Caenorhabditis elegans: one gene and its partner. The protein of the gene in region 1 interacts with the protein of each later gene in a pairwise test. Each region holds a gene or a part of one and is shown in the gene's direction. Other genes may lie near its edges.

Region 1 (3,927 bases):
AGAAAATTTGAATTTGTTCAAAATTTTGAAAAAAAAACCTCGCTACAAAACTTTTTGGAAATTTTTGAGAAGTGAAAATCGGCTGCTTGAGGTCATTTTGGGAATATCAAAATCTAAATTGATCGGTTTTTTCTCTTTTAACTCAAAAATGTCTGAAAAACAAACCGATTCGATTCTTGACAAGTTTCCCAGTGTAGGCTCGTCGTCGTCGGATGAATTCAAATAGCAGGTTATCTAAAAATAACGACTTAAAAAATGTTTTTCTATAATTGAAAAAAAAACAATTTACCGAATTTTTCTCATCTTTCGGGGAAGCATGTTCACCAGGTTGGACACACCGATTACACGGGCAAGACGTAGTTTCAGCTATTGCAGAACTTTCTGGAAATTTTTTTAAAATCAGATTTTTTCAAAATGATTTGGCACTCACTTATATGGAACGAACATTTCGGATCAACTCCTCCAATTGCAGTAAGACCACATGCATTGCAGACATCGAACATTTTTTGAGAACGATCCAGTATAATATCTGGACTTTGAATTTGTAAGCCACGAAAAAATATTTTTAAAACTTACGATCAAAGCAAAATTTGCTAAGATGAAGCGCCGGCTTGTTACATTGCTTTTCAGAGTCGATTGGTTCAAAATTGTCAATTTTATCCAAAATAGAGTGCATTGTGTGTACAATAACTAAAGAATCATCCATATCTGGTCCAACACAACATTGATGGAATACTGGATCAATTGTCTAAAAAAATATCAATAGAATAATGAAACATTTTCAGAATTCATTACCGTCAATGTCAGATAGTCATTCCTTGAGTATTTTGTGGATGCTTTGAAAATTCTTCGCTGGGCCATATCTGTTGGATAATCTGAAAAACGCAATAAATTTCATCGAAAATGCCTATTAAATTGAATTACCTTCTTCTTCATCATTTCCTAACAATTCATGCTCTTTTTGTGCTTGACTTGTGACCAATTCTTTAAATTCAATTAAATCGTCAATATCCTTTTGTACTAAATCCATCTTGATATTCAATATATCTTTGTCAGTATAGTATTCAGCGTATCTGAAATTTCGAATTTATTTTTCTAATTCCCAAGAAAAATAATTAATAAGAATACCTTAACGAATTATTATCCAATATATCATCATTTGCCACATCTGGAAGACGCTGAGGAACTGTTTGAGCAGCTTGGAGGTAGTCGTCATCGTCTCTGGAAATTGTTATTTTCAATTTCAAAAAAAAAACTTTACTTACGAAATATACTCATTTGATGCAATCCACGGATCAAAACGACGTCTTTGCATCTTTGAATCATTTTCCGCATGGCACCGCATCACTTCTTTCTTATGATTATTTTCTAACGTTTTTGAAAATTCGACGTGCTCTTCACAACGGCCGCCATGTTTCGCAAGTTCTTCTTTTGATCGTATCTAAAATTTTAAATTTGAAAAAAAGCTTACTATCAAATTTTCGTATTTTTTCTCACCTGCTTACACCGAACAAGCGTTCGATACGAAGCATAATTACATTGTCCATACTTATTTTTGTCGTATTCATTGGCAACAAGACGGAATCGTGTTCCAGGTGCAACTATATATTGAGCAGGAGGACGAGTTGTTTGTTTCATGCTGCTTAAAAATAAAAATGGAAAATTGAGTCAAAAAGTTGAGATAAAACAAATTAAAACAATTTTCTGAAAAATAAACAACTGAAATTTGAAGTAATAAACAACACGCGAAAACGTTATTTCGGAGCATCGTTTGAGAAGTAAAACTTTTTTTCGGCGCACCCTTGTGCGCAGTTTTTATCTTCTCTTTTAATTTAATTTTCAAGCTAAATCTTTCTTTTTAAACTTTGAATAAATATTTAAATATTCAGAATGCACCAATAAACCTGGAACAAAATCGATAATGTTCCGCAAGCTTGGTTCTTCTGGGTCACTATGGAAGCCGAAAAATCCGCATTCTTTGGAATACCTCAAATATTTACAAGGAGTGCTCACAAAAAATGAGAAAGTTACGGAAAACAATAAGAAAATATTAGTAGAAGCATTACGAGCTATCGCAGAAATTCTCATTTGGGGCGATCAGAATGATGCTTCGGTTTTTGAGTGAGTTTTTTTCCAATGTTTTTTTTCAAATCTGATGTTGAATTTCAGTTTCTTCCTTGAGCGGCAAATGCTTCTTTATTTCTTGAAAATTATGGAACAAGGAAACACACCACTAAATGTACAATTACTGCAGACTTTGAACATTTTATTCGAAAATATTCGACATGAAACTTCACTTTGTAAGTTTTTTATATGGATTTTCGCTTAAAATTGCCAGTTTTCAGATTTCCTTCTAAGTAACAATCATGTAAACTCGATTATTTCCCACAAATTCGATTTACAAAATGATGAGATCATGGCTTACTACATTAGTTTTCTGAAAACTCTTTCATTTAAACTGAATCCAGCTACAATCCACTTCTTCTTCAATGAAACGACTGAAGAATTTCCATTGTTGGTAGAAGTTTTGAAGCTTTATAATTGGAATGAATCAATGGTTCGAATTGCTGTTAGAAATATTCTTTTAAATATTGTGAGAGTTCAAGATGATTCAATGATTATTTTCGCTATCAAGCATACAAAAGTTAGTAGAAAATTATTTTGAAAAGGTGTATTTAAGCAATAAATATTACAGGAATATCTATCGGAGTTAATAGATTCTCTAGTTGGTCTCTCACTTGAAATGGACACATTTGTACGATCTGCTGAGAATGTGTTAGCTAATCGAGAGAGATTACGAGGAAAAGTGGATGATTTAATTGATTTGATTCATTATATTGGTGAACTATTGGATGTGGAAGCTGTCGCCGAAAGTTTATCAATTTTAGGTCAGTTTTACTGCTGGAAAATCAAGTTTTTAATGTTAAATTTTCAGTAACAACACGATACTTAAGCCCTCTATTACTTTCAAGTATATCACCAAGAAGAGATAATCATTCACTTCTACTCACTCCGATTTCTGCGTTATTTTTTTTCTCTGAATTTTTATTGGTGAGTTTTAACATTTAAAATTACATTTTTCTAATTTATTTATTTTTCAGATAGTTCGTCACCATGAAACAATATATACATTTTTATCATCTTTCCTATTTGACACTCAGAATACTTTGACGACCCATTGGATACGTCATAATGAGAAATATTGCTTAGAACCGATTACATTATCATCACCAACCGGAGAATATGTGAATGAAGACCAGTAAGAGCTGAAATTTTAAAATTTTTGCTTTGAATATAGTATTTTCAGCGTATTTTTCGATTTTCTACTGGAAGCATTTGATTCCAGTCAAGCAGACGATTCGAAGGCATTCTATGGATTAATGCTGATTTATTCAATGTTTCAGAATAATGGTGAGTTTTAAAAAATTGATTTGTTAAATTAAAATTTCCATTTCCAATAACTCCTCTTCAGACAGTAAGTTTTCAATGTTGTAAAGTTCCTGTTCATCTGTGATCGTTTTCTTCATTTTTTTAGTTTTGCATGAACAGTTTTCAAATTTTTTTGATATCATACAGTAAATATCGTCATCCAGATAATTTTCTATTTAAAAAAAATGAATAAAAAGAGGGCGCGCAGAAATTGCCGAAGTAATGTAAATTTAAAGGGACACATGCGTAGCTTGTTGTGTGGGTCTCGCCGCGCTTTGTTTGATTTATCTTGTTTTCTGCTCAAAGAGCTGTTTTTATTTTAGCGTTGAATGCTTTTTTACCGTTCTCATCGGCTTTTTAATAGGAATATTTAAAAAAAAAGGTTTAATAAATCTTCGTTTTTACAAAATCCATCTAAGATTTGCATTTGTGAAGCTCAACAAGTAAAGTTTTAAGTAACATTGTTTTTTAAAAAACAATTGAACCAAATTTTGCCGA
Region 2 (3,927 bases), on another chromosome or scaffold:
GCTGAACAAGCTGAAGGATGACCACAATCTGAAAACGAACAACTCGTCGAAGGCCTAGATTCTTACTTTTTATTTATATATTCATTTTTTCTTTAAATTGAAACTCTAATTCTTTAAACCTATACACTTTCACCTGTTTTCTTCATGATCACCACCATCACACTATTTATTTTTTTTGTTATTGTCTGTTTTGTTGTGTGTTTGGTTGAGTTTGTGAATGAACTTGTTTTTAAAAAATATTGATTATATTTTGGTTTTTTTTTTCAAGTGTTTTTTAAAATTACACTGATATATTTTATATTTTCTTGTTTGGAAAATATTTACTTGTGTATTTTAACTCTACATTTTAAAATTAAATTTTAAATATAATTAATTGTTTTATTTCTTCATTTTTTTTTTTTTTTTGGCTTGGAAAATTTTATTTAACTAAAAAAATTAACATTTTAATATGTGGCCCAAGTTATACCCAAGTATTTACCTCTTGCTCTTTAAATTTCAACGAATTTCGTTGAATTTCCCCCATTTGCGGGGGTCACTATTGTTATCAAAAGATCCTTATCATAGTTTTTGATGCTCTAGAAATTTCTAATTGCTTTTCCTTGTGATTTTGAAAACGTTTACAGTGATGTTTCTCTTTTTTGATTTCATCAATTTATCTTGCATCCCTAGGAGCTCCTAGTCAAATGTTAGTATTTTGTGATTTTTGAAAGTACGGTAGCTGCGAGATCGATCGTTTCGAGACTGGAAACCCTACTTTTCATCAAATATCGTAAGATTCCTCGAAGGAGTAACCACCTGTATTGAAAATCGAGGGTGTCAGGTTTTCAATTTTTTGCTAAAATCGAAAAACTAAACTTTTCTTAGAAATAAGTTTTTTAATTCACCAATTTTTGTTTTTGATGTTGATGAAAAAATATATTTACGAAAACAATTTTTAATTTTCTTTTCAAAAAATAATAAAAATAGCCAAAATTTAAAAAAATTTTTTTGATTTTTAGTGGAAATTCAAAAACCGACACCCTTGATGTAAAATTTCCCAACATTGAAAAAGAGTGATATCATTTTTTCCAAATTAGTATTCGTCAAAGTGCAAAAATGCTCTCCGTCTCTTCTCAACGTTGTGTCGTCAATAGTGCTGCTCATTCGCAATTGTTGCTCTCAGAGAGCAGAAGTGGAGGATTATTCGTACACCTGAAGAGACTATATTCCCGCATTCTTTCCTCTTCGTCTTCTTCTTCTTCTTAACCGAAAAATTCGTCAAGCTTTCGCCTTGCTCATTATGCAAAATCTGTTTGCCCCGAGGTCCGGCTAAATGAAGGATCCGAGTGTGTTTTCGTTGAAGATGTCTTTCTTCTTTTCTGTTTTCTCTCTTTTTTTTCTTCTCCAGCTCCACGTAATTGGTGACTCGAGTAGAACTCTATAGCCATTCAGTCTTCTCCAACATCGTCTAACAAAGCCTCTCTTTCAGCTTCTATCTTCTCTCTCTCTCTCTAGTTGACGTCTTCTACGTCTCTCTCTCTCGTTTCAATCTCACTAACCCCCTATTCACGTGAATTCAGCGTCGTCGTCGTCGTCGTCTTCTCTACCCGTGATTCTCGTGACTTCACATAAGCACAATGTCTGCGCCTCCGCTATACGGGTATGATGATAGTCCAATAAGGAAGAGAAGCTCTCTATTGCAGAGTTGAATCTTTTGGGCTAAGTTTATTAATATGGCCATGCACCAGCTTTTTTTTCACATTCACTTCTCTTGTTAAGAAAATTTGAGTAAAATTCGAGTAAAATTACGACTTTTGTAGAATCTGCTATTTTAATTCCAGTGGCCTAGATTTTAAGCATATAATTTGAAGTTTTTAAAACTTTTTACCGATTTTTACTTTTAAAGTTAAAAAAAAAATTATTGATATAATAGTAGGTCCTAAATTATTACGATGTATGCTAGGTCTACTAGCTCTTCTGAAATGAATTTCCACAAATTTATTCGATCATTCCAGTGAATTGGAACTTCCCTCTCAATTGAGACTACAATAATTTGAACATCGTTAGTTATGCGATCAATTAAAGGGCGAAAGGATAACGCATACACTTTCGTTTGCCCGATGTAGATAACAGAAAAGCCATTAGTTGAGAGGCGTCAGTTTCATTATAAACTTCGTAATTCACTTCTGTTTCATAGGCAGTTGCAATGAAGTGATCGTACTTTAGATTTTTTTTTTCTAATTGAAATAATTTCTCCAAAAGCCCATGACCGGAAATCAATTTTTGAAATTTTCATCTGTCGCACACTCTCTTTTGCCAATTCTGTTTGGCTATATATATATGTGTGTGTGTGGTTTTGTGCATGGCTACGAGGGGCTCGACCCAATTAAACAGCACGAAAGGGAAAAGGAGTCCCTCTCTTTTTCGCTCAGCTTTCTCTTATTCCCGATTCTAGAGAGCCGCGCCCCCGACATTTGACATGGAAGAAGAAGAAGAAAAAGAAGAAGAAACATATGAGATCTCACGAGCGCACATCTTCTGAAATGAATTCCAATTGCACCTTCTTATTCGTGTTTCCTGCCAGCAGACTACTTTATTTCTTTTTTTTCTGATCTATGTGTCTTAGAATCTGAAAAAAATTTTTGTCCATATCTGGGCGAGACCCATGGAAATTAATGTAATGTGCCTTTAAAGGAACATGAAAAAGAAAATCCGAAAAAAAATTGAATTTGCAAAAAAAGATATCTCCAAGAAGCCTATTGCTCATTTATTTTATTTTGGCAAAATTGAAAAAAAAAAACATTAACATTTTTTTTTAAATTTTCAAGCAGTTATATTCGGTCATTTAAACTAAAAAATTGTGGCTCTACTCCACCTTGAAATAACCACAATAGTAAGTACAGTAGTTTCATTAAAATAATTTACATTTTTTGGCAGCAAAAAAAGTCTGCTCCCAAATAAAACCCAGACCCGCCGTTCATCACTTGTGTTATTCTTTTCTCGAAAAAAAACGACTCGATCCATTCGTTTTCAGGATATGCTTCTGTGTGTGTATGTGTGCAAAACGAAGAAGCACGTCATCCGAAATAAATAGTCACACATCTCTTTGCTCCCATTTTCCCTCTCTTTCTCTGGTTCTCTCTATCTCTCTTCATCTCTCTTGTTATAGACGCAGAGATAACCCTCCGCTCACAACCACGCTCACGAGACACTCACCACGCGCTCACTCTCTTCGATTTTTTGGCTGTGTTGGTGGTGGCGGTGGCAAGAGAGAGAGAGTGAAAAAATGTGAAAAAAAGGCATGGGTTCCTTGGAATATATATGTTTGGAAGAGGTTATATTGACTTTAACTAACTTTTTTTGCTCAAAAATTTTGCTCTTTTCTGCTATTTTCGCCAATTTTATTTGCTTCAAAAATGTTTTCTAACATGCTGGCCGAACTTTTCCCTATTTCTTATCCATCTTCATCATATGATTCGACCTCATTTCGTAACTTCCTTCACTACGCTCCTCAGTCATGAGGAAGTATTGATTGGTCTGCCTCGTCCACACCACGTCATCAATTTTCCAAAGTTTATGTTTTTTCAGTGTGTGTGTGTTCTCTTCTTCTATTACTTCTACCACCTTTCTCTCTCTTTTTTCACTTTTTTGAGCATTTTCCGATCAATCAATAATCGATTAATCAATTAATCAACTTCCAGAAGAATGTCATATGCCTACCTTTTCAAGTACATTATCATCGGGGATACTGGAGTAGGAAAATCCTGCTTGCTCCTTCAGTTTACCGACAAACGTTTCCAGCCAGTTCATGATTTGACGATTGGTGCGATTTTTAAATTTTATTCAAGTTTTTTTTTCAAAATAATTATTTTCCAGGCGTCGAATTCGGAGCCCGTATGGTGACAATTGACGGAAAGCAGATCAAACTTCAAATTTGGGACACAGCCG

What was found.
Region 2: the proteins of gop-1 (region 1) and unc-108 interact in a two-hybrid assay, tested with the Caenorhabditis elegans proteins (one study listed by BioGRID).

The regions. Positions count from the first base shown.
Region 1 is NC_003281.10:5,252,549-5,256,475, forward strand, and holds the start of gop-1 (Protein CLEC16A homolog), read left to right. Parts: upstream 1-1,889; 5' UTR 1,890-1,921; coding exon 1,922-2,121; intron 2,122-2,169; coding exon 2,170-2,300; intron 2,301-2,345; coding exon 2,346-2,644; intron 2,645-2,695; coding exon 2,696-2,888; intron 2,889-2,935; coding exon 2,936-3,051; intron 3,052-3,101; coding exon 3,102-3,259; intron 3,260-3,307; coding exon 3,308-3,411; intron 3,412-3,927. Other genes in the region: Protein sumv-1, read right to left, coding at 166-234, 290-381, 431-529, 577-748, 796-875, 925-1,073, 1,129-1,221, 1,266-1,441 and 1 more. UniProt on the Caenorhabditis elegans protein: Regulator of mitophagy.
Region 2 is NC_003279.8:3,821,267-3,825,193, forward strand, and holds the start of unc-108 (Ras-related protein Rab-2), read left to right. Parts: upstream 1-1,616; coding exon 1,617-1,639; intron 1,640-3,680; coding exon 3,681-3,802; intron 3,803-3,855; coding exon 3,856-3,927. Other genes in the region: npp-11 (Nsp1_C domain-containing protein), read left to right, coding at 1-58.